Caenorhabditis elegans: one gene and its partners. The protein of the gene in region 1 purifies or fractionates together with the protein of each later gene. This does not show direct contact. Each region holds a gene or a part of one and is shown in the gene's direction. Other genes may lie near its edges.

Region 1 (3,574 bases):
TTTTGAAAATAAAAAAATATTTTTTAATTCTCTAGTTAAACCTGGAAAAGCTTGAAGAACGGCTGATGGGGAAGATGAAGCATCTCCGGATTCTGTGGATTTTTTGTTGATGGACTCAACGAGTCGCTTGGCTTGTGTCGACTTGCCGGACCGATCGAGCCCTGTTAAAATATTAAAATATTGATATTTCTTTAAAATTAAGCTAAATCAAATACCTTCGAATACAATCAGGAGCCCTCGTTTCTGATCAGTAGCCATAGGTGAAGAGATGAGGCTCTGGAAATAAGACAGCATGGAGAAATATAAAATAAAATAGAAACATGAAGACGCGCTTCTATAGAATCGGAACTTTAGATCTACAGATTCAAATCTAAAGATAAAGCCGACAGCGAAAAAATCCAGAAAATCGCATCGGCTATCTAACCTTCTTCTTAATATTTCTATTCAACCGATCCATACACTATTTATTCTCTCATAGAAAAAAGACACAAACGGACAAAATCGATAGGGGACTAAATTAACAGAAGACGTCTCGAGAATGAGATGAATTGGGGGAAAAAAGAATACGAAAAAATCGGATGGCTGTTTCGTCCTCCCCCAGCGACAGAGTTTGTATGTGGAGCTTTGAAGAGTAGACGAAATCGGATGGTGTCTACCAATGGTACATCGTCTTCTGGAAATCGACGTAACGGTGAGACTTGACGAGCCAATTGAGGAACGAGTAGGCGAAGATGAAGCGGAAGATTACCTTGACCTAAAAATAAAAAAAATTAGTATTTTTTTTTTAAATTTAAACGAACAGTGTTATTGTAGACTGGTCCTGAGTAATAGAGGTTGTGGACTCTCCAGATATTGCGCATGAACTCGTTGTAGAAGGCAGATGGGGTCTTCTCACGACGAGCCATCCAGGCTGGAAGATCTCCTAGCTTCACATCCATGAACTTGGTATCAAGCTTTCCGTAGTATCTCCAGTGGCAGTATGGTCCGTGAACGTTCTTGTTCCATCTCTTGTCGAACAATCCAACCTCGGTCTTGTTCAACACGCTAAAAATTATATCGGTTATTTTTGGAAAAGAATTTTATTCGTCGTTTTCAGACAATGACAAACCGGTTGTAGAAGAACACTCCGACACGCTCAACGGCGCGAGAGATCGGGATAAAGATCGCGTCCGGAACCCATGGTCTGAGTTGAGTGTGTGGTGGTGGAGGACGGAACCAGGCCATAACTGAAAATTCGAAGAATTAAAAAAATAAAAATAAACCAGATATTTAATTAAATAGTGAGAATCGAGTAACGATTAAGCCAAATAATCAATAAACAAGAAATTAATTAGAAAAACAACCAAAACAGGCATTTTGTTCAATTTAGCAAATATACACATGAATATCAGGAAGAATATACATTTAAAAAAGAACGTTCCAGCTCCAATAATCCTTAACTATGTGCTAAATATTGTTTTAAATATAAACATGTATTTTTGTAAACATTGATCATTATCGACCATGGGATTACGTTTCAGTAACGCCTAAAACGAATTTAACTCAGAATTTAGTGATATATTTGATTTTAGAAGAAATTAATTGAGTAAATAATGAAAAATCGTCAATATTCCACTTTTAAAAAATGCTTAAGAAAAATGTGTGCAGTTTTCAACGGGCGGCGATACATTTCGGCTAATCGCTGCGAGACCCATGGCCGTGGCCGAGTCTACAACTAGTTCACAAGAGCCGAAATGGTGGGAAAGTCGAGGACTTTAAATTTAATGTTTTTTATTTTCGAATTTAATATTTAAAATCAAGTATTTCCCTTTAAAATTTTATTTTTCAAATCAACTTTTAATTTTTGCAGTTCAAAAAATGAGTTCCGGCGATCAGAATCGAGGAGGCGTCGCCGACAAAGCACTACAACTTGTTTTAGAGATGAAAAGAAATCCAGATGTATTACCGCCTTATAACGTAAAATTATATCCTATTTTCTGCTTTAAATTTGAGTTCTTTTCAGACAGAACTTGTACGCCAATGTTATCAGAAAATCGATGAGTTGTTTCAAAAGAATGCTGCCGTCGTGTAAGTGATACATTTCGGAAGCGTACCGATTCGTTCGTGACTTCTTGATTTAAAATCATATTTTTCAGTGAAAAAATCCGTGCAGGACTCCCTCATGATTCTACGCTTCTTCAACCTCGTTTAGCTGCAATGTGCCATATTCGAGTAAGTCGAGAAGGTCGATTTTTGAAATATTGTAGTGGTTCAATTTTCCAGCGTTGCATGATGGCCTATGTGAACGAGAGGAAAAACAGGATTCGATCATTCAGATGGAAGTATGGAGGTGCTCTTCCCGCGTCTGTTAGGGTAATCGGTGCACATGATTAAAATTTGTCAACCATTATTTTTCAGAACGCCCTCTGCGATGCGGAAATTCAGTTTTTCAATGAGTATTCGAGCACATTGGCAAGATTCCAAAGCAATCTTGGAGAAGGTGGTGTTAATCTGCTGCTTCATTCTGCACCACCGAAGTCACTTTTTGTACAAGTTAGAGCTCTCGAGGATTATGGAGAATTTGAAACGTCAGATGGAACTCAAGTTCAGCTGTCCAAGGATAGTTTGGTAAGTCTTCGAATTTTTCTTTATTTGAAAAAAGAGAAATCCCGTTTTTAATTTTTTAAATAATGTATAACATTTTTCAGCACTCCCTTCCACGCCAAGACTGCGAAATGCTGATACGTCAGGGTGTTCTCGAGCTTGTTCATTGACTTGTTGTCGGTATTTTGTTTTCAACCTGTGATCTGTATAAATAGCTTCTTGTCAGTTTATTTTACAAAAAAAGTAGCCTCGTTTAATTAATTAAGAAAACACATAAGTTAAAAAATTATTTCGACTTCTCCGAGAATTTCTCGACGGCAGCACGAACTTCCTTGATATCGGCAGCATCTCCCCACTCCTTCTCCAAATGAGTGAACACGATGTCGTTGTTAGCAATCAAATAAACACCTGAACAATTATTATGAAAAAATAATTTTAATAATTTTTCGTACCTCCCAAAAGTCTTCCCTCTCCTTCCATGTTTCCCTCGACCTTGGCTTTCTTTGCTTTGTAAACATTCGAGTAAGTTCCGAAACGAAGAAATCCCATCCAAACTGGCAGCCAGCGTTCGTTTGGACCGTAGAAAGTGCGATCAGTGTCCAAATAGACATCACCGCCGGAGAACCAAGACTTGAACTCATTTGCTCCACGAGTCTCGTGCACAACGGCGGCCTGAAAGCAAAGTTTTAATTTTTCTATTTTGAAGGAGCGCTTACCAGTTCGATTCCTTTTTCCTTGAGCAACGGGAGCAGTGTGTGCAATTCAGCAGCTTCACGACGGCACAGCATACATCCCGGACGACGTACAGCCATCACCATGATCGGACCTTTCTTGAACAACGAGTCGGCCTGAAACTTCTCAAATAATTTTAATTTTAGAGTGAAAATGTTTACCGTAAACTGCTCATTTCTCTCCACAACTTCTTTTTCCTTCGGTCCACCACGAATTGGGACAAGTTTTGCGGCCGCCAAATGAGCAAAGGTTGGAGCAA
Region 2 (6,396 bases), on another chromosome or scaffold:
CAGTGGAGCAAATGGAAAGGATTCCAAATCTTCCAAAACCGAGCAACCTAAGGAACAATCAAAGCCGGCTCCTCCAAAGCAGCAAACGCCAAAGAAAGCTGAAGATCGTATAGTGAAGCAAGACACTCCGAAATCTGTGGAAAAGGAGGTAGCGAAAACACCGCAGAAACCACAGCTTGCCCAACAGCCCCCACAGCAGAGAGCCCCAGTTCCTGAGCCTGTTCAAGAACAGCCAAAGGTTCAGAAAACGTGGGCTAATCTTGTGGGTGGAGGTGGAAAGTCTCAGCCCCCACAACAACAAAGTTATGGACAAGGACAGCGTGAGTTGAAAAAACGAAAGATGATCGGGCTAGTCTCAGATTATTTATTTTTCAGAAATCCATCAGCAAACACAAATGCACCACATGCAGCCTTCCATGCATCAGCAACAACAAGGATCGCATGCTCCTCTTTATCAGCAACAGAGACAGTCGCACCCAGCTAATGAATTGCGCCAAGCTCAGGAAAGTTCAGATGCCAACCTAAATGAGCGTAAGATCTATTTGGGAGGAATCACTCGAGAGATTGTCCCCAGCAACACAGCTCAGGCTGAATCGGAAATCAAGCAGGTGTTCTACAGTAAGCAAATTAATAGTCCCAATAGTTCACTAAATTTTCATTTTAAGAATATGGAGAAATCGAGGAGGTTCGCATGCCGCGCAAGGTTCTTGACAGTCCGAACGACACATCGAAACATGCCTTTGCATTTATTACCATGCGTAACAAGGCCGGAGTAAAAGCCATTTTCGAAGCGGCTACAAAGGATGAGCAAGGCGTGTGGAAGCTTCCACTCAAACTGGATGCATTCGGATTTGACGGACATGCTCAAATTAGTGAGCAACGTGATCAACCACAAGGCGGCGGATTCCGAGGAGGACGTGGAGGTTTCCAACCACGCGGTGGACAATTCTTCCGCCGTGGCGGTTCGGGTGGTGCTCCACGAGGTGGTATGCGCAGCGGTTTCCAAAATGCGGGACAAAATTAGAAGCTTTCCGTTCTCCTTTTTCCTTCTTGTAAGAATTGCACATCCATTAGATTCTGTACCTATCCTTCTCATTTTCCTATTTATTGTTTCTCCTTTCCTTCCTCACCGTTCTAATAATGATGATTTAAGTAAGAAGATTCTGGTATCTGAATTTTATGGCGTGTAGCGTTTTAGTAGATCTCTCAACAATCCAATCCAATCAGCCCGCATCCCATTTTCACATCCTATCTCCCCGGTTTTCGGTGATTGACGACCGTGATCCCATCTGAGTTTACTCTTTTCGAGTACAAGTTGCAATCAGACATCATCCCACCACCGAATATCCAAGTTGTATTTGAATGTTGTTTTAATATATTACCACTTTCCTTCTCCTTTTACAAGCCCCCGTTATTGTTTCCTTCATTGGTGTTCGGGAGTACTCTTTGTACTCAAGTTCTTACCCCCATTTTGGCACGTTGGAATTAAAATAAAGTTTTGTATCTAAATTATTCAAGTTTCTCAATTTGTTTTTTTTATATGTAGTGTGTCAAGTAACAGTGTATTGTACTTATTGTTGTGAGATTGTGTTTCTAACATTTCTAATGGATACAGCAAGACATGGATGATGACTACAATGTACTGCATTCTGGGTTTGCCGACGATGATGGGCAACTTGAATATCCGTAAGATCTTTATGTTGAGAAGCAGAAGTAGTTTTACATTCGCTGAATTTTAAGAGATGATGAGGATCAGCTAGCTGTAGTTCCGAATGGAGACTCTGAAAATCAAAGAATCAATGAAGTTAGGAATGCTCTCGAAGAAGTTGGATATGGTAAAAGAAAAAGACGCTTGAATGAAGTAGAAGACGTATTTGATCAATATGGAAGACGTTCACATCCAATGGGTCAGTCAAAAAGAAGGTTTTCCAATTAAATTATATATTTAGATTGGCATATGAGAATGGAAACAGTTTCCAGTGAAGTATTACAAAAGTCACAAGTAAATGCTGTTAAGAGAAGAGCCCTCGAAAGCTTGGAACAGAAAATCAACGAAGCAGCTGCTCAAGCTGAAAGAAAAATGAATGAAAATCATCATTCTAATGCTTTTGACGATTTTCAAAGCGGAGAGCAGACAATTTCTTCACTTTGTGAGCTAGAAATGGAACGGAGATATAGAAGACGACAGGTTATTACTTTTCCTTGAAAGATTATATTTTTATCATTGAATTCAGGAAATCATGCGAAATCCGGTAACTGATGGTTCACCTTGGATTGGTATCAGTGATGTCGTCAACGGGCAACGATTTTATATTCGAACTTTCCGTGATGATCGTCTTTCTGTTCCGTTAGTAGAATCGATTACCCAACAAGCAACCCGTTCGAGGGTCGGTTTTCGAGCTTTTCAGTCGATTTGTCAGGAATCCGAACGTCTTAGGTAATAGTTTCACTAGAAAATTGAATACTTTTATAGTTTTCAGCAAGTTGAAAGAAGAATCTCGCGTTAAAGAACAGGAAGCCGAGTTTTCACGCATGCTTAAAGAAACTGAAACACCGTCTGAATATGAAAATAATAAATCTCATCCAGAATCATCATTATGGGTGAACAAGTACGAAGCCAAAAATTTCTCAGATTTGCTCTCGGACAGTGTAAGGAATTACATTATTTTAAAAAAAGAAGTCACGATATTGCAGACTGTCAATCGAAATATTCTTACATGGCTGAAAATGTGGGACGAGTGTGTGTTCCATCAAAAAGTCGACGATTTACTAGCAAGCCTCGGTGAAAAAGAACGAGAAGTACTACACATGGATAATGGCAAAATTCGGCGTCCATCATCGAAAATGTTGCTTCTTTCTGGCCCGGCTGGTCTCGGTAAAAGTACACTAGCACGAATTGTCGCTCGTCAAGCAGGCTATTCAACAATTGATGTAAATGCAAGTGATGCTCGAACAGTCGCAGATTTAAATAAAGTACTAGAAGGAGCTGTAAAAACATCTCGAACACTTGATGCAGATCAACGGCCAGCATGCCTGATTCTTGATGAAATTGATGGAACACCAATTGATACTATTCGTCATTTGGTTCGGTGTATTCAAGCAACAGGCAAAAAAGCCATTCGGCGACCCATTATTGGAATTTGCAATAATTTGTAAGTTATTTTATGGCTTCAGTGACACAGAAAGAAAATATATAATAGGATATCGGGAACAGTTGCAAAAACATTTTCAACCAAAAACCAATTTTCTCCAAAAAACCGAAAAAAAAAACACTTTTGATTTTTCCATCATACCTACATTTTTGAAAGATAATCTTTTGTTTTTTAGTCCAAAAATCCATTTTTGCAAGAAACACCAACTAAAAACGACAGTCCTAATCGGGAACAAAGATGTCAGCGAAAATTTTGACGATTTTTTTCACTGAAAATCTAAAAATCGAAAAACGACAATTTTTCGAAGAAAAAAAATCAGTGAACCATAAAATTATTTTTTTTTTTTGAAATCAAATTCTGTTTTTGTTGATAAAAACACAAGAAAACATGAATAAAAATAAAATAGAATAAAAATGATCAAACTTTCAAGATATTTTTCGAAAAATCGAAAGAAATCAAAAACTAAAATTCTTGGTTTCAGATTTTGGTAAAAATCGGAACACAAACCCCCTTTATCGGGATAACTCAATGTATTCGTAAGATGTGTTTGATTTTCTAATTATTTGTTTTTAAAGGTATACGCCAGCATTGCGTGATTTACGAGGAGTCGCCTGGTGTGTGCAACTAGTCGCAACAAAACAAGATGTTTTAGCAAAACGACTGGAAGAAATTTGTGACCGAGAACGTCTTCGATGTGATTTGAGTACTTTGAGAAAGTTATGCGAATTGTGTGCAAATGATATGAGACATTCAATTAATACTCTTCAATGGGTAGCGGTGGCAGCACGAAAATCGAATCGAGCAATTGGAATGAAGTTGATCCATGAGGTATGACGCTGTATATTTTTTGATATTAATAGAAATCTGTTTTTTAGGTTATTGAGAAAGAGAAAGGCGGATCTGCTTCTATTTTCGAACATTGGTCGTCAATTCTTGAGTTATCTAAACATACAGACGCAAAGGGAGGAATCAAATCTGTACGAGAAAGAATATTTGATATCGAACGAATATCGGCAGACCATGGAGGAGAAGAACGATTTGTGTCTGGTTTACATGCAAATTATCTTGTAACTCTTCCAATTGGAGTAATACGCAAAGCGTCTACATGGTTTTTGTTCTATGATGATATTCAGAAAATCGTGAGTTTTAATTACTATTAGTATTAAACAACTATTATAAATTCTTGTTTTCAGGTACACAGTCTTCAAAACTGGTCGGTTCTAAAGTATGTTTTTTCATTCTTCGTTTCCCTCCATCTCAACATTGCGACTCATGCTCGTGTTCCGATCGCCTATCCACAGTTGGAACAAAATATTTTCCAAAAAACGAAGGAATCGGAAGAAACAATCAGCGCAGTTCGATCATGTGGACAATCGACTAGAGGTGCACCAAAAAAAGAGCTTTTGCTGGATATTTTGCCATTCATTGTCAATATTGTTCAGCCACCTATCAAACCGGTAACAATCGCTGGTTGTTCTCTTTTTTTTTAATTTTTAAATTTTCAGATGAATGAGTCATTGTATAATCAACGGGAACTTGCGACTTTCAATCAAACTGTCTCGATTATGTGTGATTATGGTTTGACATACACTGCCACAATGGTAAAAGATCAAGTTAATTGGTTATTTACTCCTTCAATTGATATTTTGACAATGTTTCCACTGGATGGACCAAAGCGGCCGTATCTTGCCAATGCGACAAGACAAATGATTGCTCATAAGGTTTGTATTTATTGTTTTAAATTAATTTTCTTTCATTGCCTGAAAGTTTTGAATTCACACTTTGTGCTTTCTTAAAATAAGGAGTAGAGTTTGTAGGTTTTCTCATCAAATAGATTAAAACCGGCCCGAGACACTCGATTTTGAAAATGAGATTTCTCAAAAAAAATTTCAACATTTTTGTGGCGTTCTGCATTTTCGAAAATTGTCGCAACAACTGGAATACAGTTTTTAAATCAAATTTTCACCCTTTAATAAAAACTGTATTTCAGCTGCTACGACAAGCTTGGGAAAATCTCAGATTTTAACAAATTCGAAATTCGAAATTCTGAAACACCATAAAATTGTTTGGGAAGTCTCAGTCTATTTGAGCAAAAAAAAAGCTCCGTGTTCTGCCCAGGCCATGGCAAATTTTATTTTCAGAATTTAATTTAATTCTTAAAAATTTTCAGATCACTCTTATGCGTGTTCGTCTGACAGAGAGTACCTCGAATACTGAACGAATTTCTACGAATGCCGATAAAATCAAAGCAATCGTTGAATCAGAAAGCAAAAAGAAGAAGAGACTATCTGCCGGAGCAATGAAAAGATTACACAATGGAAGACTAACAGATATAGTATTTAATCATCAGGATGGAGACAGTAGTGCTGTCAAAAAGAAAGTCACCATGCAACAACTCAACTCTATACTTTTTGGTGATTCTTAACCTTAATTTCAAAGTATTTGTTTGTAAAATGACACTATTTTTGCTGTATACTACTTTTTTCAGTTGTTTCAGCGCTGTATACACGTTCCTATGATCTTTTGCTCATTTTCCGATTTTATCACCCCAATGAACAATACATTCCTTTTAAGTTCAGACTAAAACATTGTTAATTTTCTGCAGAAAATAATGCGGGGTTCGAAATTGATATGAACAAAAACATGATCTCTTAATAGTTCATAGAATTCACATTTCAAAATTAAGAATGCTATAATAGCATTTCAGCTTCATCGAAAATGTCACTTGTTTTCATGGCAACTCAATTGAAATATGCAATTAAATATCTTCACCGATTCCTACTTCCACAAACTTTATTCTCAAACAAAAATATTTTGAGAATGTTTTTTCATATATTTATGTGGCTCTTTTATTTATCGGAAGTTGATTCAGACAATTGTTCATTTAATGTTCATTATATCACAAAAGAGAGCTTATTTCCAACTGAATGCTCTCAAATTATTGGAAGATTTCGTATCGATCAAAATTCTGAAATGAAAAGTGAACAATTGATCACTTTATTCAAAAATGTTCTTCAAATTCGAGGAGTTCTACAAATATGGAATACTCAATTAACTTCAGCGCCTTTCATGAAAAATATTCAGAATATAACTGGAGATCCATTGGGTAATATATTCAGAGAACACTATTATGGGGATGAAGACATAATCTTCTTCTGAAATCGTCGTGGAAATGCGCTCCATAGATAATTGAAATCGCCCCGCCCCTACAGTTCGGTCTCGTTGGGTGTAAGAACGAAAATTC
Region 3 (5,105 bases), on another chromosome or scaffold:
CGATTTTAGCGGAAATTTTGACGTTTTCAACCCAAAAAAACCATAAAAATTCGACAAAAATGAAATTTCGAAGCTACAGTACTCTGTTTAAAGGCGCACACCTCTCCGCATTTAACAAAAAAGTCGCGTCGAGACCCAAGGTACTGTAGTTTTGGCCCAAAAAAATGACAAAATTTCAGTAGAAAATTCTTTAAAAAAATGTTTTTTTCCAGATACATGTACTCGGTGATCACCAACTGCTTCCTGAATATTCGCTCGAAAATGTACGATCAACTGCAATATTTCCAGAATGAAATTCCATATTAAAAATTTGCCAAAACCAAAAAATTAATTTATTTATTTCTCCATTTTTTCCCCACCCGCTGCCAGTTTTTTCTTCTTGTGTTGCTATAATTTTATTTATTTATTTCTAATTTATTTGAATCCCCCGCTCCCAATGTATAATAGTGATTTTAGGTTTTCGGTGTATAGTTTTAGAAAAATTCGCTTTAAAAAATCGATATTTGCTCATTTTTCGAATTTTCAGCAAAAAAAATCACCCGGAGATCTTAAATTTCATGAAAATGCTTATTTTGCAAAAAAAAAACCAGTTTTAATTCAAAATGCAATCGCGCTCCATCGCCAAAATTTGCGTCTCGTTAGTTTTTGGCGGTAAAGCCGAAAATTTCAACAATTTTCGCCGATTTAAACCGTTTTTTCGTAATTTTTATCCGTTTTTCATGAATTTTGTATTAAAGGTGATAATTGCATGAAACAATTATTTCCATAATTTCGGCATCGAAATCGTTGAAAAACAACGAAAAATGCTCGATTTTAATGATTTTTAGCTCAATTTAACCTTAAAATTCTGAAAAAAACGACTAAAAATGCTCGAAAACGGGAAAAATCAACGGAAATAAATGAAAATTTTCGAATTTACACGGTTTTCCCGCGCCGACTAGCCAAGCTTTGGCGCTGGAGCGCGATTGCACATTCATTTCAACCAAAAAATTTCGAGAAAAATCCAAATTTATTACTTTCTCTTTACGATATTATAGACAAATTGATTGGATCCTGCAACCATTCGCTTTTCCACATAATATGGATCATTCGAGTATCCAATGTCGTGAGTAGGTGTGCAAAAATCATCATTATCAGCAGTTTCTCCATCTGAAAATCGATAATTTTACCTTTTGCCGCAATACGCCTGCCAGGAGCCTACCAGAAGAACTTGACGAGTCCCAAGTGGCAGAAGTATCGTCGTCTTCGCCGAGCTCCGGGTCCCAGTCATCTAGTTCTTTCACATCAGAGTCATCGTTGATTAGTTTCCCAATTTTCGCACCCATCTTGTGCTCGAAGTTAAGGAATTAAGGAATAACGAGAATTCTGATTTTCTAACTTTCTAAATTCAAATTTAGAACTTCACGTTCCACAAATTAATTGAATATTTTGCTTCAACGGATTCCCCGATGAAGCGATTCCAAAAATTATTTTTTATTCGACACACTCTCTCGAGAGATCGAAACGACAGCTAACCTTGGTTAAACTGGGTTAAAACCAAATTGACACGATTTCGTTGGCGACCACTAATCTGCTGTGGACGGACATTTGCCGGGTTCCGCCGGGTGCTGTGTTTTGTGGGGGGAGACACTCCGCCCATTTGTACGTAGTGTGGTTGCACAGCGCGCGAAAAAACAAATTTTGAAGCGAAAATTAGTTTAAAACGCATTTTTTATAGATTTCCGAGAGATTTAATCGATTTTTTCGACTTTAAACCGAAAAATTGGCTAATTTAATCTTGGAAATGCCGCAAATTTTCTCTATTTTCGAAATATTTCCAGCTAAATTTAAAAATTTCCAGGTTCTTCAATGAATGTGCTCGTCCAGGGAGCAGTCCATGCTCTCGGATACTACGAAGATGGAAAATATAGCCGAGAACCGGATTGTTATGGTGAATAAGCGGAATTTTCGATTTAAAATCGATTAAAATAGCAATTTTTGCCAATTATGCTCATTTTCTGCAATTTTGAATGTTTTTTTTTTCAGAAAGCATCCGAGATTTAATTCGATATCTACGCGAAGACGGTGACGATCACACTGCTCGAATCGAATGCGGGCGGCACAATCTTGTCGAGCAGGATTTGGTTCCGATGGTGAAGTGTGAAGATTTGACGGATGATGAATTCGATATTGCTATTAGGTAAAGCTGGGTCTCGCCGCGATCTCACTATTTTTTTTATTTTTTTTTAATTTCAGATTAATGGTGAACCTGTGCCAACCTGCAATATCAACGATGCGCGGCAAGCCTCCCGCCGATCGAGATCAATGGAAAATGTACTGGGAACTCGAGGAGAACCTCCGTCGCGCCAAAACCGCCTTCTCCGACGCCCACTTCTTCACTGCCATCAAAAAACGAATCGATAATTATTTCATCGATACAGAGTACGAGGATCGCGACGAGAGGCTTCGGCTTGTGGTGGAACGTATCGTTTTGCTGATTAAATACGTGTTTTCCATCAATCCGGATACATCAGAAGGCCGAAGAACTCGCATCGAGGATAGCAGTCATGATCGTGTGATTATTGCGTTTTTAGAGTCGGGAATCGATAAAACTCTGATGCATATCGCGAATCAGCCGAGAGAAAAAGAGTTCCACGTCACGATTCTCGACATTTTCGCGTTGATCCTGAAAGAGCAGACAGCTGAGGATCTGGCCACCAAGTCTGAAGAAGTTTCGACAGCTGAACAGAAGAAGACCGAGGAGGAATTTCGAAAAATCATCGAAAACCACGTTGTCAAAGAGACTCAGAAGAGAAAGTCGTTCTCGAGATTCGGTGGATCCTACACAATCAAAGGTCTTAAGGGAATCTCGGCGAATTCTAGTCAAGTAGTGTTCAAACCGATTCAAAACGTGGAAAAGCACAATTTTCTGGATGATCGGAAGGCGAAAAAGCGGGCTCCGAGGAATAGAAGACCGTTTGAAATCGACACAAATTCGCATTTCGCGTCGTCTGAAGTTCGTGGGATGCTGAGAGATATGGTGATCCGAATCATTGAGACTTGCTTCAACAGGCTTATGAAAAGCTCGAAAACGACGGTCTTCGTGCAAGTTCAAAAGACATCCCAAATCAACTACTTCTTCCTGATCAAGTTCGTCCTCCGATTCGTCAGGCTATCGCGTCAGGATCATCTCCTCGAAAGGATCTCAGAGTGCATCGGAGTTGAAGCATTCCACGAGAATAACGTCCAACTCACGGAATACGTGGAGAATGCGACTACGCTGAAGGGAGTCGAAGCTAAGAGTCATGGGCTGAAGGCTCAGTATGCTCTCGGAGCTTACAATGAGCTTGTGCTCCTTCACCGTTATATCTACGAGCATGCCAAGGAGGAGAATGAACGGAAATTCGCGAAACGAGCGCTGGAGCATATTGTGAACGTTGAGGAGTACAGAGAGCTGCCGATTTTCATCATTAAGAAATTCTCGAGCTCCGTGCTCTCTAACAACTTTCTCCGAGAGCTTGTGCTCACCACACATCACTACATGAAGCTTGTCGAGAGATTTGTGAAGACAGGAGCATTGAAGAAAGTCACGAAGAAGGTGAAGGTGCGGAAGGCTACGAAGAAGAGCAAGATGTCCGAGGAGGATGTCCGCTCGGAGTTTGATGGAATGAGCAAGAAGGATCTCGATCGGCTCTGGGAGGAATCCAAGGGCCTTGTACTTCAAATTCTGAAGAAAGAAGTGCCGGAGATGAGGGGAATGAACCCGATCGACTCGCAGCTTGATGTTCCCGTAGATGCTCAGCAGAAGTTTGCCAAGCTTTCGATTCAAAGATCGTTGAGATCCAGAGGATTTCCAGCAGCGGTTGGGCTGTACCATGCTTCGAGGGCCTTGTGGCCTGAGAGTTTTAAAAGAGGACTAACGGTTCGGACGATTTTGAACTTATAGACCCAAAATGAGCTCAAATGAACGAATTCTTATAATGAAACTGCTCAAAAAAAATTTAAAAATTTTTTTATGGCCGTTTAAATTATGAAAAAAATACACAGATTTTAGCTAAAATCACGAATTTTTTCCATTTTTCCCTGTCAAATCCGTCCGAAGTTGGCTTTTTTGGAATTATCGTCTTTTATTACATATATTGGTAGTTTATCTCGTTTAATTTCGTCGATTAAAGTACATTTAAAGCCGATATGGAACCAAAAATCATCGAAATTGGTTACCTATCGGCTTTAAATGTACTTTAATCGACGAATTTAAATGAGATAAACTACCAATATATGTAATAAAGGACGATAATTCCAAAAAAAGCCAACTTCGGACGGATTTGACAGGGAAAAATGGAAAAAATTCGTGATTTTAGTTAAAATCGGTGTAATTTTTCATAATTTTGAACCGCCATAAATAATTTTTGAAGAAATCCGTTAAAATTGAGCAAATCGCCACTGAAATCGACGAAAGCGGATGAAAGCGGATTAATTTTAAATTCGCGCGTGAATGAATCCTAGGCCACCACACGATTTCTAGGCCATATTCGTTCAACAACACATTGATTTAAATGTTATTTTTCAAACTTTAATTCGTTTTTCTTTCTCAAAAAGTTTGAAAAAACTGGGAAGAAGAAATTGTATAAAATTCTTATATTAAAAATACAATACAGAACAGAAAAAATATTCGAAAAATCCTCATGGCCTAGGATTTCTTTAGTTAAATTTCGAAGATTTTTCGCCGATTTTTCTGGCTTAAAATGTTCAATGTTAACGGATTTTTCCCGTTTTTCTTTTGTTATATTCGTAAGGATGAGCACGAATACTACATTTTAAAACAATTTCCCCATTCAGGATACTCCTTCTTCAAATGAACGAATTTCGTAATGACCCTGCTCAAAAAATTTTCAAAATTTTTTTATGGCGGTTCAAAATTTTGAAAAAAATTACACTGATTTTAGCTAAAATCGCGCGAATTTTTCCCATTTTTCCGTGTCACATCTGTCAGAAGTTGACTTTTTTTGGAATTATCGTCCTTTATTACATACAGTGTCGGCCAAAAGTATATGCGTTTTGTGTTTTTCAGTGATTTTTCAAAATTTTCAAACAAGTTTAACTCTAAAACTAGAAATTTAGGTATA
Region 4 (6,834 bases), on another chromosome or scaffold:
TCTACAAATGGAATTTGAAATTTGTAAAATCCTTGAGGAAATATGGCACTTTCAAGGAAAATGAAAATCGGAACGTTTTAATTTTTCAAAAAAAAATCCAATTGAGCAGAATATATAATTATTGAAAATATTGATAATCCAGTTCTTGATCTCTAGCAGCTGCATAAGACCTTCTTTTATCAGTTTCCTCGTAGCTTCTTCGGAGTTCCCATTGAGTTCCAGAATCTATTGTTGAACTGCTAATTGTTTGAATTTGTGAGTCTTTCTTTGTTGGCTTCTTTTCTGGTTCAATATTTGAAGATTTCTTTTTTCTTCCAACGAATATCCAAGAAACACAACAACAGCAACATACAAGTAAGAGAAGAACAAGAAGAATTACTCCGATTATTCTGAAAAAAGTTTAGTTTTCAAGATGTTCCTGTTTAAGATGTTCCAAATTAAGAAATCCAAAATTTCATCCCCTTATAGGGATGTTCTGAGAGATGTCTCATTCTACTACAGATGCTCAAATGAAAACTTAAATTTCTTCTGTGGATTTATATGACTTAGATGTGGATCTAGTTAGAGCTACTTTACAAAAAGCTTACATGGGTTCTTGTCTAAATCTCCAACAACAGTTTTCCAAGAACTCTCCACAACATTCATAATATGTGAAGAAAGAAGCAGTTGGACACCTCCTAAACGAGAAAAACGGAATTATTTGCCAATTATAATATTCTCCAACTTACATTGGAGCAGGTCGTGGTGAGTTAAAATACCACGGTCGGCGGCAAATGACGTCATTGTATGATTGAGATTTAACTGAAACAATTCTTTGACAAGGTATTTTAATAAAATTCATCATATTTTCCAATAAACTTGAAGCTAGGTGAGAAATATGGCTTGTAGCACCGAGATCGTGTCGAGACCCACTCAGAAATCCAGCGTGCGCCTTTCAAAATTAAATGGAAATCTCTAAAAAATGTTTATAGGTGAATTTCATCATACTATAGCGCCTTTTGAACTTTGAACTTTTAAAATTGTCGAAACTCACCATTTGAGATCAGAGTTAGATTTAAAATCAAAACGAATAATTTAAAGAGAAAGTGCATACTTATCGATAAAGCAGTATAACACAACTTTTCTGTCGACAAAGCTTGGAAGTTGTAGTGTCCAGAAAGCAAACATACACATATTCTCGCATAAGTTTCCTCGGCCTGTTGCGCACGTCTGACTCATATTTATTCATTCTAAACATCGCCCGAATTTCTGAAATTCTAAGAAGTACAGTAACCCGAATGGTCTCAAGGTAACCTATCTCCCCTTGAAATTAATTCAAGTTTGAATGAGAATTTTGCATGTTTCAAATTTTTCGTGACTCTCAATAACTACTGATTCTTGAAGTCTACATTACAGGCTATTAAATTAGAAATCGTAGGCCCGATTTTTATCAAAGTACCGTACCGTGTGAGTTTCAAGGGAGGCACGTTTTTGGGAAATGGTCTTGCGACGACATGGCAAGAATTGTTATTTTTTAAAGCGCCTTTTTCTGTTTTTGATTTTTCCCAATAAGTTTTTTATTTTATTCATAAAATATATCTTTTACATCTGAAAAAGCAAGTTTCTGAATGACAATGAATTTCTGTCGAAATTCAAATTCACAGCCGCACAGTTTTCGCGCCTAATTTGTCTGCGTCTCTTTACCGCGCACACTGTTTCGTCTACAACACTCCAGTGTTTCGGTACGCAGGTTGCCGCCAAAATTGAGTTTTGAATTTTAGGTGTCTTATTTCTCGTCGTTTTCCCGCATTCTCATTGTTTTCCTCTTCAGATTGCACCGACTTCCTGAATTTCTAGTTCTCTTTCTTACTTTTTCGATTAAGAAAGTTGCCTTAATTCTTTTTAAATCAATTCTTTCAGCATGGACAACATTATCGGCGGTCAAGCCCAGCAAGTGGAGGACACCGACGGAACTCGTGTGCAGAACGAGTTTTCCAAGTTTTTGAAGAGCTTCAAAGACCAGAAAAATGAGTTTATCTACAAATCTGCGATGAAGGAGCTCGTGCAACCAGAAAAGAATACCATTTTCATTAACATGCAACATCTCTACAAGTTCAGTAACAATCTCGCAACAACTATCGAGCTGCAATACTACAGGTAAATTAAATTCGATTAGTATTTTCGAATACTTATAAATATACTTCAGGGTCTATCCATTCATGTGCGAAGCTCTACACTTGGCCACTTTAGATGCTTGTGATGAAAGTGAGAGACAGCAAATGTTCAAGAAGCAATTGTACGTTTCGCTGTTCAATCTCGATGCGAAAACGAAAGTTCGTGAGCTTTCTGCGGACAAAGTCGGAGGCCTCGTGCGCATTGCCGGTCAGATTGTCCGAACTCACCCAGTGCATCCAGAACTTTCACGGGCTTGTTTCGTGTGTGAGGATTGCGGTGTTACCACACGTGATGTTCAACAGCAGTTCAGATACACTCAGGTATGCGGAGATAATAATTAGCTTATAACGAATTCAAATGTTTTCAGCCAACTAAATGTGCTAATCCTCAATGCATGAATCGTACCAGATTCAGTCTCGATGTCAACTCATCTACTTTCGTCGACTTCCAGAAGATTAGAATTCAGGAGACTCAAGCAGAGTTGCCTCGTGGATCAATTCCACGTACTGTCGATGTGATTGTTCGAGGAGAAATGGTTGAAACTGTCCAACCAGGAGATAAATGTGACATTGTTGGAACTCTTATCGTCATTCCAGATATTGCTCAATTGAGCACTCCTGGACTTCGTGCTGAGACTTCAAATCAGAACAGAGGTAAACAATTTTATTCGAAACTCATTTCTTAGTGGAAGTAGTTGTCGCAGATACCTTGATTGTCTTCTTTTTCGCTGGTTTCATACAGAAAACTCTTTCTCGAACAAAATCCATATAGATTTTTCTGGTAACAGGGGTAAAAATGAAGTATACTAGAAATACATGGCATGGCACCTGAGCTAGTCGAAAATAAGTGAATGCGAGCTTTCCGTCAAGCGAAAGATTTCCAAAGAGTTCCTGAAAACTTGCATAGTAAACGCTATTTCGTTGAATTTATACCGGAACAACTCGTAGAACAAGACTTGTTAGCTCATATACAGAAAGATAGAAAGCAGTGATAAAAGCTTGAATCATAAGCATTCGTTCAGTCTTCTTTTTCGCTTTTAAAACATCCGAAGGCATTGATGTAAACTGATCTCCATTCCCACGTCGGAACATATTTTTGATCTTTGTATATGTTGGTGATCTTTGAAGTTTGAAGTTTATAATAACTAGCACATTGAAAAAGAATGCTACGAACGGAAAGAATACAGAGTAATAATTGGAGAACGTTGTGATCTACAAATTAAATTATTAATTTTTGTAACACAGATATCATCCGTAGATCTACTTTACCTGATGCCTGTCTGGTGCACATTCAGATATGAATCCAACTTTTCGTATATCATAATTTATCCGACACTCACTCAGATAGGGAATAATAAGACATGCGAAATTGGCAGTCTGAAGAATAAATGTATCATTTGAAATCTTAGCATTTCAAGATACCATATGAAATGAAGTATAGAGCCATATTTTGCTAGAAGTGAAAAGCTGAGATGCCTGCATACTCACAACTACTGCTATTCGATTAATAGTCATCAGAATAAGTGTGAGCATTGGATGAAGATAATTGAACGTTACACCCACCGAAATCATAGCTCCTATTGAATCCCGATATGCTGAAAATATAGATTAGAAAATATATCCTTCCTCATGTGTCCGGACAGTTATTACTTTTATATGTTTTATCGGACATGTAATAGGGGAGTATGTAGACCATTATTCCGAATATGACTAGAAGTGCGTTAGAAATTGCCATGTTATAGATGTATGTGGCTGGTAGAGCATCTGAAATGAGATTTTTAAAAAAATAAAATCCCGAATTTTTCGTAACTGTTTTTAGAAGTTTTTATTGCCAGTGATAAAGTAATACAGTAGAATAAATTGAACACCGAACATGTCTCGTAAACCCATAGAGCAATACGCTTAACAACGGCAGCATCCACATCCATTTGTAGAAAAAAGAAACACACCAGCAGGTTGAATAATGTAGGAACCAATGGTTGGGTAGTATTCTTTTGGAAGATGTGATTATATGGACTCCTCGTTTCTCGATAATGTGGTGATTTTGATTTTATTAGCATCTAGTATTCGAACAATTATGGTCACGTGGAACGAGGAAGTAGAATTGATTTTCAGTGACTAGTGATTCCTATGGTTTCATAAATTTAAATATATATTTTAAGAAAAAAAACTAGCGAGACTCAACAATAATCTGATTTTTTACAGGCAGAGCGACCGATAAAAGCGAAGGAATCACTGGATTGAAAGCTCTTGGAGTCCGTGATCTTACCTATAAAATGGCATTCTTGGCTTGTCATATTCAACAAACCGAGAGTCTTGTTGGTGGAGATGCTTCGGGAGCTGTTGAGGAGACTGATTATCTTGATTTATGGTCGAAAATGTCAACAGAAGATCGTGCAACACTGAAGAAAATGAGTGACGATAAGAAAATCGAGAAGAACATTGTCGATTCACTTTTCCCGAACATTTATGGAAACCACGAAGTTAAGCTTGGAGTTCTTCTGATGCTTCTTGGAGGTGTCGCGAAGAAGAGCAGGGACGAAGGAACTTCACTGAGAGGTGATATCAACGTTTGTCTTGTTGGAGATCCATCAACTGCCAAGTCGCAAGTTCTGAAAGCTGTGGAAGAGTTCAGTCCAAGAGCTATTTACACTTCTGGAAAAGCATCTTCAGCTGCTGGTCTGACTGCTGCTGTTGTAAAAGACGAGGAATCGTTCGAGTTTGTCATTGAAGCTGGAGCTCTCATGCTTGCCGACAATGGAGTTTGTTGTATTGATGAGTTCGACAAAATGGACCTCAAGGATCAGGTTGCCATTCACGAGGCAATGGAACAACAAACCATTTCCATCACCAAAGCTGGAGTCAAAGCAACATTGAATGCCCGTGCATCAATTCTTGCCGCTGCAAATCCAGTTAATGGACGTTATGATAGAAGTCGTCCGTTGAAGTATAATGTCCAGATGTCAGCTCCGATTATGTCACGTTTCGATCTTTTCTTTGTGTTGGTCGATGAGTGCAATGAAGTTACTGATTACGCTATTGCCCGTCGGATCCTTGATAATCATCGTGCGATCAGTGAGCATACTGAACGTGACAGTGTTTACAAAATTGATGATATCAAGAAGTATATCGCGTTTGCTCGTTGCTTCAAGCCGAAGATTTCGGATAAAGCTGCTGAAACTCTTGTTCGAGAGTACAAGAAACTTCGTATGTCTGACAGCAACAATGCAGCCACGTCATCATGGAGAATCACTGTTCGTCAATTGGAGTCTCTCGTTCGTCTGTCTGAGGCTCTTGCTCGTCTTCACTGTGGAAAGGAAGTACTGGTGGAACATGTCGAAAAGGCTGCCGAACTTCTCAACAAGTCTATCGTCAGAGTTGAGCAACCAGACATTGCTTTGGATGATGACGACTTTGACAACAATATCATGGTTGTTGAAGCAGACAAAGAGAATCAAAGAGGAGATGATAGTATGGATCATGATGGAGAGAAGGAAAATGCTCCGAAGATTGATATAGCAAAGCTCAAAATCTCATTCAAGGAATACAAGCAATTGTCTGATGTTCTCGTTTTACATATGCGATCCGATGAAGACAATCAAGGAGAAGACGAGTATGATGGTGTCAAGCAGAGTGCACTTGTTGAATGGTTTGTTTAAATATTCAAATATTTAAATTTAAATTTCTGGTTTTTAGGTACTTGTCGACAATCGAAGCAGATTTGGAGACGGAGGAAGACTTCAACGTACAAAAGACTATTTGCGAGCGTGTAATTCATCGTCTCATTCACCAGGATCACGTTCTTCTTGAAGTTGAGCAAGGAGAAGATCCAACTCTCTGTGTTCATCCGAACTATGTTATTGCCGACGAATAATTGAAATAATTGCTTCCCGTGTGTATTGATCTCTTATCCAGGCTCTTTTACCGTTTATCATTATTTTTATCATCATCATCAACTCACTAATTTGCAATTAACTTGAGTATGACTATCACCGGAACTTTTGTGAATGAATTTTCATCAATATTTCCAAACTATTGCTATGTGTTCAAAGTGAAAAATGTATGGGCTGCGGCCTAGTTTCATTGACGGCCATGTACTTCTCGTGGACAACTTTCGCAAACCGAATCTTTTAGTTATCCAGATGTAAAATATTGGGATTTCTGTGCCAAAAACACGGTACCTAGTCTCGAAACGATAAATGTTTGTTAAATGAAAACGGATGTGCGCCTTTAAAGAGTACTGTAATTTACAGATTCATATTTTTTTGTTTTTTTTCTCCCGTTTTTCGATAATTCATGTTTTTAATGTTATTCTTGAGCTTGCTAATGAATAATCTTATTTTTATTTTAAAAAAACGATGAAAATCCCTTTAATTTAAAATTACAGTATTCTATAATGGTGCACATCATTTTTTCCTCAAACCTTTTTCGTGCGGAGACCGGCTACCGTATTTTTAGCTCAGAAATCAAATAATAAATATTTCAGCGTAATGTCTGAATCAGACGGAGCCTTCAAATCACCAAGTTTACCTCCATCTCATCATGCTCCGGCTCCAATGTCGCCTGAAAAAATTCGAGCTCCCGCTGAACAGATGGACGGTCCAGTTGAAGGAGTTATTGATGAAATTGAGGTTTGAAAAATATTTATTGATTATATATATATTGAAATAATCATTTTTCT

What was found.
Region 2: the proteins of psf-1 (region 1) and ctf-18 purify together in Caenorhabditis elegans (affinity purification with mass spectrometry, with the first as the bait; one study listed by BioGRID). This does not show direct contact.
Region 3: the proteins of psf-1 (region 1) and tim-1 purify together in Caenorhabditis elegans (affinity purification with mass spectrometry, with the first as the bait; one study listed by BioGRID). This does not show direct contact.
Region 4: the proteins of psf-1 (region 1) and mcm-6 purify together in Caenorhabditis elegans (affinity purification with mass spectrometry, with the first as the bait; one study listed by BioGRID). This does not show direct contact.

Annotation. Positions count from the first base shown.
Region 1 is NC_003280.10:9,966,824-9,970,397, forward strand, and holds psf-1 (putative DNA replication complex GINS protein PSF1), read left to right. Parts: upstream 1-1,849; 5' UTR 1,850-1,857; coding exon 1,858-1,956; intron 1,957-2,002; coding exon 2,003-2,067; intron 2,068-2,135; coding exon 2,136-2,211; intron 2,212-2,262; coding exon 2,263-2,352; intron 2,353-2,397; coding exon 2,398-2,607; intron 2,608-2,687; coding exon 2,688-2,753; 3' UTR 2,754-2,807; downstream 2,808-3,574. Other genes in the region: dtmk-1 (Thymidylate kinase), read right to left, coding at 42-161, 216-258; R53.4 (Putative ATP synthase subunit f, mitochondrial), read right to left, coding at 653-754, 801-1,044, 1,109-1,224; R53.5 (Peroxiredoxin-like 2A), read right to left, coding at 2,870-2,991, 3,036-3,255, 3,300-3,431, 3,477-3,574.
Region 2 is NC_003282.8:10,121,864-10,128,259, reverse strand, and holds ctf-18 (AAA+ ATPase domain-containing protein), read left to right. Parts: upstream 1-1,615; 5' UTR 1,616-1,621; coding exon 1,622-1,686; intron 1,687-1,740; coding exon 1,741-1,907; intron 1,908-1,949; coding exon 1,950-2,188; intron 2,189-2,234; coding exon 2,235-2,437; intron 2,438-2,480; coding exon 2,481-2,649; intron 2,650-2,694; coding exon 2,695-3,152; intron 3,153-3,727; coding exon 3,728-3,980; intron 3,981-4,027; coding exon 4,028-4,291; intron 4,292-4,345; coding exon 4,346-4,609; intron 4,610-4,657; coding exon 4,658-4,873; intron 4,874-5,322; coding exon 5,323-5,577; 3' UTR 5,578-5,723; downstream 5,724-6,396. Other genes in the region: Ras GTPase-activating protein-binding protein gtbp-1, read left to right, coding at 1-320, 376-618, 666-1,024; irld-21 (Receptor L-domain domain-containing protein), read left to right, coding at 5,973-6,258.
Region 3 is NC_003281.10:12,246,898-12,252,002, reverse strand, and holds the start of tim-1 (Protein timeless homolog), read left to right. Parts: upstream 1-1,838; 5' UTR 1,839-1,848; coding exon 1,849-1,930; intron 1,931-2,025; coding exon 2,026-2,179; intron 2,180-2,235; coding exon 2,236-3,901; intron 3,902-5,105. Other genes in the region: pifk-1A (1-phosphatidylinositol 4-kinase), read left to right, coding at 213-306; Y75B8A.23 (Protein kinase domain-containing protein), read right to left, coding at 1,013-1,149, 1,202-1,325. UniProt on the Caenorhabditis elegans protein: Plays an important role in chromosome cohesion during both mitosis and meiosis.
Region 4 is NC_003281.10:9,792,468-9,799,301, forward strand, and holds mcm-6 (DNA replication licensing factor mcm-6), read left to right. Parts: upstream 1-1,899; 5' UTR 1,900-1,900; coding exon 1,901-2,136; intron 2,137-2,185; coding exon 2,186-2,474; intron 2,475-2,521; coding exon 2,522-2,807; exon of another isoform or gene 2,808-2,828; coding exon of another isoform or gene 2,829-3,044; intron 3,045-3,086; coding exon of another isoform or gene 3,087-3,365; intron 3,366-3,422; coding exon of another isoform or gene 3,423-3,530; intron 3,531-3,575; coding exon of another isoform or gene 3,576-3,748; intron 3,749-3,803; coding exon of another isoform or gene 3,804-3,917; intron 3,918-3,963; coding exon of another isoform or gene 3,964-4,081; intron 4,082-4,356; exon of another isoform or gene 4,357-4,358; coding exon 4,359-5,802; intron 5,803-5,849; coding exon 5,850-6,027; 3' UTR 6,028-6,176; downstream 6,177-6,834. Other genes in the region: R10E11.9 (uncharacterized protein), read right to left, coding at 119-389, 588-677, 729-801, 1,034-1,091; srxa-10 (Serpentine receptor class XA 10), read right to left, coding at 2,829-3,044, 3,087-3,365, 3,423-3,530, 3,576-3,748, 3,804-3,917, 3,964-4,081; ZK632.2 (uncharacterized protein), read left to right, coding at 6,644-6,784.